Linked DNA regions of Saccharomyces cerevisiae S288C. The protein of the gene in region 2 binds, or shares a complex with, the protein of the main gene of each other region. Each region holds a gene or a part of one and is shown on either strand. Other genes may lie near its edges. A codon is read from its position in the direction of its gene.

Region 1 (6,460 bases), on a different chromosome or scaffold from region 2:
CTATTACCAACACCCCTTTCTCCCTCATCTTCTTCACCTTTTGTATGATCTTCTGTGCGTCTCTTCTTTGGTGATATGCTCGTATTCTCTGTTTGATCCAATGCACCGTCATCGCCTGCTGTTCTTTTCCTTATCGTGTCCGAAGGTTGTGAGTTTTCTAATGGAACGAACGTGGTAGTTTCTTCATCTCCCGGGGTCTTTCTTTCATATTCTGCATTCTCCTTGGTAATTGCCTCTTCCCCAGAATTTAGCATGGACTGTATTCCAACTTTGTGAACCGTATCGGCAGCGGATATGGTTAGACCCATCTTGAGAGAGTCGCTGTTTGCGTTTGAGCCCTCATTGTCAATATCGACGAGTTTTTCTTGCTCTAATGGTTGATATCCTTCCTGTTGGTGGTCTGAAATGCCGCTGATGGAGGCCGATCTTGGTTTTGGCGACATTGAAGAACCTTTAGTTGTTGGTTTTTCTGCACTTTTTATCTTTGAACGGGTGGAGATCTCATTCAAATTTAAGTTCAAGTGATTATCATGTATTATCGAAGTCATTCTTTTCCTCCTCTCTTCTTCTTTCATTGCTTTTAAGAGTTTCTTATTAGACTCCATAAATGACTTTGCTTTATCGCGATCGTTATATTTCATATTAACAAGCATTTTCTCCCTTGAATCACGTCTTTTATCTAATTCTCTTTGTTGTCTATTCATCTCTGACGTAACCGCCGCAGCAGCGGCAGCTGTTGCTGCTGCTGGAGAGGAAACGGGTGGTAATTTGACCGTAATATTACCGCTGGCGTCATAACTTAATGAAAACTGATCGTTAACCATTAATCGGCGAATATCACTATTGATATCTGAATTAGCTGAAAATTTAATGACGTTGTCAGTATTATTATTATTGGTCGTATTATTACCACTATTTTCGCTGGATGATTTGATGGTTATTATTTTCTCCTTCTCGGTTTTATTTTCTTCAACATTTACCTTTCCTTCCACGTTATTATGAACAGTATCAGTAGTATTCGAATCCTCTGCGTTTGGATCACCATTAGTTGAAATTAGAGAGGCCAGTTCTAAACTTTTAATGTCTATTTCTTGTGTGGCTGACCTTGAAGTCCGAACCGGAGCCGGTTGTGACACAGGATTGGATGGAGATGATGGTATTTGATGAAATTTGGAAGATGGAAGCAAGGAATTTATTGGAATCTCGTTTTTAATCCGATTAGATGCATCTGACTTATCTATCGTATCCGTGGAATTGGATATCATTGTTTCCACTGTTCTCTTTTTTGGGGGCCTGCCTCTTTTTCTTTTGATTTGAATTAAGTTGTTCGGCGTAACAGGTGTTGGTGTGATGGAGCTAGAATTAGCAGTGGATGGTCGCTCTTTACCATTTTCATTGTTCGTTCTTTGCGGTACGGAAGTCAAGGACATATCAGCATCATCTCTTGATGATGAAGGGGCAGATAATAAAAGCGACTCTTGTTTCGTTGATGGTTCCACAAAATACCTTTTGGATTTAGACGTTTGTACTACGGCAGTCGGTAAAGTAATATTTACTGGTGAGAAAGGAGCACCCTGATTGGATGCACTTTTGAGATTGACCGAGGCTGCGTTTGACACTAACTTATTCATTGTGGAGGTCGAGGCATCTTTTCTTGGCCTGCCAGGTCCCCTTCGAGAAGAAGAGGTATTATGCTGTGAACTGGTATTGTTGGATGAATTTTCTATGAGAAGGTTAGAGTGATTTACTTTCGAAGTATTTTGCAACATTGTCGATAATTTGTTCAATCGTTCATTCAAATTATTGACCAATATGTCAGTATTTACTTGATTCTTCATGACATCATCCAGCTTATTTTCCAAAACTGATTGGTTGTGTGATAAAACTTTTAATGAGTTAAACAAATCCTGCACAGAATCAGTGAGGGAAGTGTCTTTGGAAAGCAAAGCCGTCTTCAAATCGTTGCATTGTTTTGTGACTTTGTCCATACCCTCTTTTAGGGCTTCAATAGATGAATGTGGAAAGGCCTCGGAATCTTTTATATGAAGCGGATTTGAACCAAAACCAGAGCCAACTTGTCGTTTTATATCAGAATCATCACTGACTGGTATGTCTGTGATGGATGGCAAAGCTTTAGCGTTCGCATCTGTATCTAGCTTCCTCAAACTATTAGCTTGATTTTGAGCACTGGTAAGTGCTAACGTATCTACGTCATCTTTGGGTCCAGACGGAAGTCTCTGTTCATTGGTTATGTTATCAGAAGGGGCTGTGGTGTTCTCAGACATCCCCGCAACAAACGAATTTTGTTAATTATGTATGAAACTTTTCGTTTGATCTCAATAATACCACTAGCGACTAAATTTTTATGATACTTAGCTACTTTAAACAAGTCCCTTGTGCTCTGTTTGCTGACACTTTTGATAAAATATGCCTGTGTATAATTCTTTTAGCAGTTTATTTCAAACACAAATGGTATTAAAAGGATAGATGAAAAAAAAAAAAAAATTAAAGCCACTAGTAATGATACAATCGTGGTATCACAAGCGCTGAATGAAACAAGTGTGGCTATCTATAGCGGATGCAAGTGGAGAACTTGTGAATCCAAACTGAAATATTTTGCCATCATTTGTTGTCCTTTCCCTTTTCCATTCAGGAAAAAAAAAAAAAATTTGACGTCGCCGTCGCGTCGCAGTCATATAATTACAGCAATTTATCTTGTTGAACGACGCAAATTAATGGAAATTGTGACTTACATAGTAAGTATTAGTAAACGTAGTTAAGGCCACGTGGGAAAGATATGAAAGGAGTGTAAGTAATGGATATCGGTCTAACGAAAATGGAAACCAATCTTTAAAAATGATAGTATGATTCGACAGTAAACTAGAAAAGCCACAACCCGTGGGACATGATAAGGCTGCTCGTTTTTGACGCAATTTTTAGACAATACTGAAATTTAGCATAATAAGCTTTCCCAGTGAAAGTAATAATATTTAACCTAGGGTAGGGGTAGGGAAAAAATAAAAGTAAACCATAATGTCACATTCCGGAGCTGCCATTTTTGAGAAAGTTTCTGGGATAATTGCCATAAATGAGGATGTTTCACCCGCAGAATTGACATGGAGGTCTACGGACGGTGACAAGGTTCACACAGTTGTCTTATCCACTATTGACAAGTTACAAGCTACCCCTGCTTCCAGTGAAAAAATGATGTTGAGGCTAATCGGGAAAGTGGATGAGTCAAAAAAGAGAAAAGACAACGAAGGAAATGAGGTTGTGCCCAAACCGCAACGTCATATGTTTTCGTTTAACAATAGAACAGTTATGGATAATATCAAGATGACCCTTCAACAAATCATCTCACGGTATAAAGATGCAGATATCTACGAAGAAAAGAGAAGAAGAGAGGAGTCTGCGCAACACACAGAAACACCAATGAGCTCTTCTTCTGTTACTGCAGGGACTCCCACACCACATCTCGATACACCACAATTGAATAATGGGGCTCCGTTGATTAATACAGCCAAACTAGATGATTCTCTCTCTAAAGAAAAATTGTTGACCAATTTAAAGCTACAGCAATCTTTACTGAAAGGAAACAAAGTTCTAATGAAGGTTTTTCAGGAAACAGTCATTAACGCCGGTTTGCCTCCATCTGAATTTTGGTCAACTAGAATTCCGTTATTGAGGGCTTTTGCCTTATCTACTTCTCAAAAAGTTGGGCCTTACAACGTTTTGTCAACTATCAAGCCGGTGGCTTCATCGGAAAACAAAGTCAATGTTAATTTGTCAAGAGAAAAAATTTTGAATATTTTTGAGAACTATCCAATTGTAAAGAAAGCTTACACTGATAATGTGCCCAAAAATTTCAAAGAACCAGAGTTCTGGGCAAGGTTCTTCTCTTCGAAGTTATTCAGAAAATTAAGGGGTGAAAAGATCATGCAAAATGATAGAGGTGACGTAATCATTGACAGGTACTTGACATTGGATCAAGAGTTCGACAGAAAAGATGATGACATGCTATTGCATCCTGTGAAAAAAATTATAGATTTAGATGGTAACATACAGGACGACCCAGTTGTACGAGGCAACAGGCCCGACTTCACTATGCAGCCAGGTGTGGATATTAATGGTAATAGCGATGGTACCGTGGACATCTTAAAGGGTATGAATAGATTGAGTGAAAAAATGATTATGGCTTTGAAGAATGAGTATTCAAGGACAAATCTACAGAACAAATCTAATATTACAAACGATGAGGAAGATGAAGATAATGATGAAAGAAATGAACTGAAAATCGATGACTTAAACGAAAGCTACAAGACAAACTATGCAATCATACATCTGAAAAGGAACGCACATGAAAAGACAACCGACAACGATGCGAAAAGCTCGGCAGACTCGATAAAGAATGCAGATTTGAAGGTTTCTAATCAACAAATGTTACAACAGTTGTCATTGGTCATGGATAATTTAATTAATAAGCTAGACTTGAACCAAGTAGTTCCTAACAACGAAGTCAGCAACAAGATCAATAAAAGAGTCATAACTGCAATCAAGATTAACGCCAAACAGGCTAAGCATAACAATGTTAATTCAGCACTCGGCTCTTTTGTCGACAACACTTCTCAAGCAAATGAATTAGAGGTGAAAAGTACCCTACCAATAGACCTATTAGAAAGTTGTAGAATGCTACACACAACGTGCTGTGAATTTCTAAAGCACTTTTATATTCATTTTCAGAGCGGTGAACAAAAGCAAGCCAGTACCGTCAAAAAACTTTATAATCATTTGAAGGACTGTATTGAAAAGCTGAATGAGCTATTTCAAGACGTCCTTAATGGTGATGGTGAATCTATGTCAAACACATGTACCGCCTATTTGAAGCCAGTTTTGAACTCCATTACTTTGGCTACTCATAAGTACGATGAGTACTTCAACGAATATAACAACAATTCGAACTAGAAATATAAAGGCTCTCCAGTTGTTACCACTTTTTACATTCATATTTTTCATCTATTTACTGCATGTTACATATTACATAAAACTTAATTGTGTGTATTCTTCCTTTTTGGTCTTTAGTCTCTATGTAAACAATAGAAAAACGCGGGACTCGATTAACGCTGTGCTGCACTGATGCAGCCGTGCGTGTAAATAAAACATTTAACGTGAAAACGCGCGCGAATGGCTTGTGAAACAAACAAGAAACAAACGGGAAATATTTCAGCATGTGATGTGGCTGAAAATTAGCAAACGATTCGTCAAAATAAATCAGTAATGGTGCTTTAGTTCTATTACAGCTTGCTAATGGTTCAGTAATATTTTCAAAAATTTTGCCAAACAGACCTAAGCACTTGCAATACTCCAGACTGTTAGTTCAGTCATTATCTATCATCTTGGACGATTTTGCAATTTTTTAGTGTAGATGCATCTCATCGACGGGCTTGTATGAATGATATTAAATAGGCAAAATAAACTAGTCTAGCTAATATTCGACTAAATTGCAGCTGCTAGGTCACCATCCCGCACATACCTTAGATATTTTGGAACTAATGGCTAAAAGAAGGCAGAAAAAGAGAACGCATGCGCAGATCACACCCGAGCAGGAACGAGATATTCCTAAATCCATGGTAATCAGAGTGGGACAAACTTCATTGGCTAACCATTCTCTAAACCAATTAGTAAAGGATTTTCGCCAGATCATGCAACCGCATACGGCCGTAAAACTAAAAGAGCGCAAGTCCAATAAACTGAAGGATTTTGTTGTTATGTGTGGCCCATTAGGTGTTACGCATCTTTTCATGTTCACTCAATCTGAAAAAACAGGAAATGTCTCGCTAAAGATAGCTAGAACTCCACAAGGTCCTACTGTTACTTTTCAAGTATTGGACTATTCACTGGGTAGAGATATCAAAAAATTTTTGAAGAGACCTAAATCGTTAAATAATGATGATGTATTAAATCCTCCATTGCTAGTGTTAAATGGGTTTTCCACATCGAAAAGATCTGATGAAGACGATCAGGATGTAAACGTGGAGAAGGTTATTGTTTCCATGTTCCAGAATATTTTCCCACCTCTGAATCCTGCAAGAACTTCGTTGAATTCTATCAAACGTATATTTATGATCAATAAAGACAGAGAAACGGGGGAAATTTCTATGCGCCACTATTTTATTGACATTCGAGAAGTAGAGATCTCTAGAAATCTAAAAAGGCTTTATAAAGCCAAAAATAATCTAAGTAAAACAGTGCCGAATTTGCATCGAAAAGAAGATATTTCTTCTTTGATATTAGATCATGACTTAGGCGCCTATACATCAGAATCTGAAATTGAAGATGACGCTATTGTGAGAGTGGTTGATAATCAGGACGTGAAGGCAAAACATTCTCAAACTTCGCTGTCGCAAAAAACACCCGTTAAAATGACAGATAACGAAGAACGTGAAAAAGGAATTGAAGAAGA
Region 2 (4,682 bases):
GATCAAAATCGAATTGACCTGCATCCTTAATGTTCCTGAATTTGCAGACCAATTCATTAGATGAAGACGAAATAATGTCACAAAACCCTTGGTTAGTTCTCAAGTAGTAATTCCCATAGGGAGATTTAATCAACTCGTAATTCGCTGGTGTACCTTGACTCATCCAGTGTCCATTCTTGATTAGAAAGCCTTGCATCTGATCTCCATTATTAATATTTGATAGACGAACGACTCCTCTGTATCTTGCTCCCTTATTAGGTCTCCTCCTGAAAGTTGGGACATAACCTTTTGGAAAAAACTTAATACCATCTTTTTTACAATTTGTTCGAATGGCAAGTGAGTCCATGGGCACAAACATTTCGCTCAAAAGGGAACCCTTCAAGTGGTTATAATACCATACTTCGTTTAAGGAATTATGTCTATCACAGCCTATGAAGACTTTTTTTCCTTCAAACTCTTTACTTAGTGCTGCCTCTATCTGCTCCAAAGAATAGGAATTGTCCACACTTGGGACAATATTATTTTTTTCTAGTGTTGAAAATGTGTCCAATTTCTTGAATAGATTATAAGTTATTCTAAAATAATCATAGACCGCTCTTTTTCTGTCAACACTATTAGCACCCCACTCAGTATAGCACTCTGGTCTAATTGTGCTAATGCACGTGCCATGTTTATTAAACTCGTGTATCCATAAGGACTCATGATTCCCGTTATTACTCTTCCAATATAAGTCTAGGTATTCAAGCAGCTTTTCGCCCGATATTTGCAGGGATGTATCATTATTATTAAATTTCTTGTCATGCAATAAGTAGTAAACATCGTCAATTTGTAAGGACCTATTACAGAATTGTTGGTAGCCACCATGACAATTATCTGGCCATAATCCGTGAATTGTAAATGAATCTAGAGGCCCTAACTCCTTCACTAATTCAGTTTCATTTAAATCGTTTTTGCTTGGAAAGTAATTCCAGAATTGGGTTTGTAAAAATATTCCACCTGGATATTCAAAACAACACGAGTTGTCTATATCAGTTTTATTGGAACATGATAATGGAATGTTTATAGGGCAGTTTGGTTCTATACCCTTATCTGCTCCATTCGAAAAAATTGGTAGTTGTAAGAGACTGTGTAAGTTTTTCAGTAACATTGACACAGTACTTTAGTTTGAAATATCTTAAATAGTTGGCCTTGCAATAGGTCGAAAGTTGAAGCGTTAATTATAAATTCGGTAGTTCCCCTACTTTTCGATAGGTTTGCATTTAAGGGATATTTTAGGAAAAGCTTAGATACCGAAATTTTGTTGATAGAGATGCAAAAGAAGAAAGAATGAAAAAGGAAAACAATTACTGCGCAAGAAAGACGCGTGTGTTAGCGCAATTGTTACGTTGAATGCATTGATATGTAGGGGCATATATATGTATATATACTTATTGTTTCTTTTTCAACTTTCTTTTAGCGAAATCAAGTACTTGAGAATTACCTTCCTTTGAGATGAAAAATTTCTTCTTTTTGTCGTCTTTCCACAACAAAACACCGATATCTTGAGCGTACTTACTTAGTAAGTTGTATTCTTGACTAGTCTCAAAATCAGAATATAAGGAACCTTCATATGTAATGACTCTATCTAACTCTAATTGCCATAATCTGATTTGATCTACGACGGTAGGAGGCAAAACTTGTAAAGGCTCCTTACAGTTGGGGTCCAGCTCTAATTTTTTTTCTAGTTTCTCTTCTGCCAACCTTCTCATTTGAGGATGTGCATGTGTCTCCAGATAGGCAATGATTTGGTCGGCAGTGATACCATTGGTCAATGCTCTTCTTATGGATTCCCTTGTTATTTGACCCAATACCATATTCACAAATCTTGCCTTTAAATGAACAAAAAGAGACAAAACAGCAATTTGCAGAGGTGAATTAGAATATGAATAGATTTTGAAATTTGTTTCTACAATCAATGAGCCATCGGGTATATCTTGATTTTTTAGACCTGCTTTGTTCAAATCATCTGATGTAGTGATATCTGTTGTGGATTTCCCGTTGGCGCCGTCTTCATTTACTGACGGCTCTTCTCTATTCTGTCTCAGTACACTATCCATCGCATTGGAGGCAGATCTGATTGTCTTGGTATCGGAAGTCAGCATCAAAGCTAATTTTGTTGGATAAAAAATGCTATCATTTGAATGCTTCTGGAATACCAAACCATAGTCTCGCATATCTTGTAACATAATTCTTTGTGTTTCGCTTAATGCATCGATTTTATAGGCTTTGCCAACTTCCAATGCGCCTAACATGAAAATAAAATGTAAAACATCGACTAAATCCATTTTGGACGTTTCGATCATTTTTAAATATTGCAATAATAATGTCCATAATTGGGAGTTGATTTCTTGTAAAAGAAATTGGAAGCCTTCATTAGTGATTTTGAACTCTCCAGTAGAGTTTACCTCTTCCATTAGTTTACTGTGTTTTAAAAGGTTCAGTACTTTTTCAGATGGGATTTTAGCGAGGGGAGTGCCAACCATGAAATGTAATATTGTTTCCCATTTATTAGCTGAATATTCATCCAACAAGTCCAGGCTAACTACGTTTTCCTCTACAACCACACCGAATGAGTTTTGAACTTCCCCACCCGTTAATGCGTTCCTCAGGCTGATTTTGAATGTTGGGTTTAGGTTGATCATCAAAGTACCAGATGATTTATTTGGTATAAGAAGATGCAAAGACTTCATCGATTTGATTGCATTCTGAAACTGCAATTTACCATTAGAGTTAACCCATTTATCTAAATCCAACAAAGGTACTTCATTTTCGTTGAAAACCATTGCCATGATAAAAAATTTAGCTAGTGGTGGTAAAATTCTATAGATAGCCAGACATGTAGCTGGTGAGGTATAAAGCCTATTTTGAACTTGTTGAGGAATTTCTTCCAAATACTGAGTGACCGAATGCTTCAGGGAATAGTCACTCATTATATTGTTCACTTCTTCCCTTTGATGGTGGCTTTTAATGCTAAGTTACTAGTATTGTATTCTGACGATGAAGTTAGGTTATATGTGAATATATGATGGTGCGTAATTTGCGCTACAACAAAAAAATACATTCGTTTTTTCAGTAATCGCGTACCTAATAGAAATGCAAGATGAATAAACGTTTTACGCATTTTTCATTGTGGAAAGATTAAGCTGTAGTCAAGTTTTAACCTAGTGCATAGTTCAGCCATTCCAAAATCTTTCCCTTCGCTATCATGCAGCACCTTATTCAATTTTTCCAGCTCCGCTATTTTTTTTTTTTCCAACTCTTTCAGCTGTTCATTCATTTGACTCTCCCACTCTTGTTTCTCAACTTCTGAAAGTTGTCTAAAGTCATCACTTTCCTTTATTTCACAGATTTGATCTTCCATACCGTTGTCAATCTGATATTCCAATCTTCTCTTTTTAGCCTCCATTTCTTTTTCTAGAAAATCTTTATAGCCGCCCATTCTATTGATTTTGATTAAAGTGGAATTTAAAATAAAAGACAGTTCCATCTCACAAATTGTCCTCCATTTTTCTATGGATTTTCTGTTCTCAATGATCTTGTTTTCGCTGAGAATTTTACAAGCCTGCTGTAAGTGATTATTTTCTTGCCTGAGAAGAGTAAGTTGTTTCGTTAACTCCCTATTTTTTATCGCAATTTCCTTCTGGTTCGTAGGCTTCTTCAAGTCCTTAATACCGCTTTTACCGACCCGATAGTTATTAGTGTCCTTTTTTGTATAAGAATGGTTGATGCAAGTATTTTCTTCTTCGTTCACCAAAGTTTTGTCCTTGTCTAGCCACTCTTCCTGATTGTGCATTACTATTAGATAACTGTAATTTGGTGCTTTTCCTGGAAAGTATACTTGTGATGTGGAAGTATTTTAAGTTCAAGTTTCTTGTTTTCTTTCCTATTTATGCGGAAGGTACATAGAAGTTTGGGCGGCTAATACTTTTTCCGCGGCTAATCCTATAGTAAAATGATCACTTTCATATAGAAAGTTGGTATATAAAGTGTCAACTAAGAGAGAAATAGTTCGAACCAGGTGTATTTTAAATCAACTATCGGGAAGTATGGACTGGTGGTATAATCGAATTACATAGTCCTTTTACCTTCATTAGTAGTACTTAAGTGTCACCCGCCTGGGGATTTTGCTCTCATAGAAGTAAAAGGGTAGTGCTATGGGAGCACATTAGGTAGTTCAGTTACGTTTTATGGCAGTCACTGTTTTCGCAAAGACTCCCAGACACGGGCATTAAAATGAAGTGCCAAACATGTCACTTACCCCTGCAACTAGACCCATCTTTAGAAGGTCTTAGTTTAACCCAAAGAAATTTGCTACTTTCAAATAATTCAATTATCACTGCAACGAATGAAAATGTCATCAGCAACAAGGGCATCGAAGCCGCAGATAATTGTGGGCCTCAAATACCGAAGGAGAGGCTGAGGCGATTAGGGGAGATTCAGAACATAAAAGACTTGAATTTAAAAGATGATAAATTAATCACTGATTCGTTTGTTTTTCTTAATCACGATGATGATGATAATGCTAATATTACGAGTAATAGCAGAGAGGACCAGCGTTATGGAAATGCCAACGGAAATGATAATAAAAAAGCTAATAGTGATACTTCCGATGGAACCAGTACCTTTCGAGATCATGACGAAGA

What was found. Proteins that work in one complex are often made in the same cells at the same time.
Region 1: the proteins of TFB2 (region 2) and TFB1 are in contact, whole or in part, in a cryo-EM structure (PDB 7K01), measured with the Saccharomyces cerevisiae proteins. Residues at the interface, in NP_015203.1 of Saccharomyces cerevisiae: Phe52 (codon at 2,816), Asn53 (codon at 2,813), Glu54 (codon at 2,810), Asn55 (codon at 2,807), Leu60 (codon at 2,792), Lys64 (codon at 2,780), Trp65 (codon at 2,777), Arg109 (codon at 2,645), Thr113 (codon at 2,633); in NP_010597.3 of Saccharomyces cerevisiae: Gln488 (codon at 4,495), Val489 (codon at 4,498), Asn493 (codon at 4,510), Glu494 (codon at 4,513), Asn497 (codon at 4,522), Asn500 (codon at 4,531), Lys501 (codon at 4,534), Ile504 (codon at 4,543), Ile507 (codon at 4,552), Lys512 (codon at 4,567), Lys515 (codon at 4,576).

The regions. Positions count from the first base shown.
Region 1 is NC_001136.10:1,082,032-1,088,491, forward strand, and holds TFB1 (TFIIH/NER complex subunit TFB1), read left to right. Parts: upstream 1-3,033; coding exon 3,034-4,962; downstream 4,963-6,460. Other genes in the region: SUM1 (Sum1p), read right to left, coding at 1-2,285; SSF2 (rRNA-binding ribosome biosynthesis protein), read left to right, coding at 5,550-6,460. UniProt on the Saccharomyces cerevisiae protein: Component of the general transcription and DNA repair factor IIH (TFIIH) core complex, which is involved in general and transcription-coupled nucleotide excision repair (NER) of damaged DNA and, when complexed to TFIIK, in RNA transcription by RNA polymerase II.
Region 2 is NC_001148.4:317,799-322,480, forward strand, and holds TFB2 (TFIIH/NER complex subunit TFB2), read right to left. Parts: upstream 2,970-4,682; coding exon 1,428-2,969; downstream 1-1,427. Other genes in the region: RNY1 (ribonuclease T2), read right to left, coding at 1-1,147; MEI5 (Mei5p), read right to left, coding at 3,164-3,832; VPS30 (beclin 1), read left to right, coding at 4,273-4,682. UniProt on the Saccharomyces cerevisiae protein: Component of the general transcription and DNA repair factor IIH (TFIIH) core complex, which is involved in general and transcription-coupled nucleotide excision repair (NER) of damaged DNA and, when complexed to TFIIK, in RNA transcription by RNA polymerase II.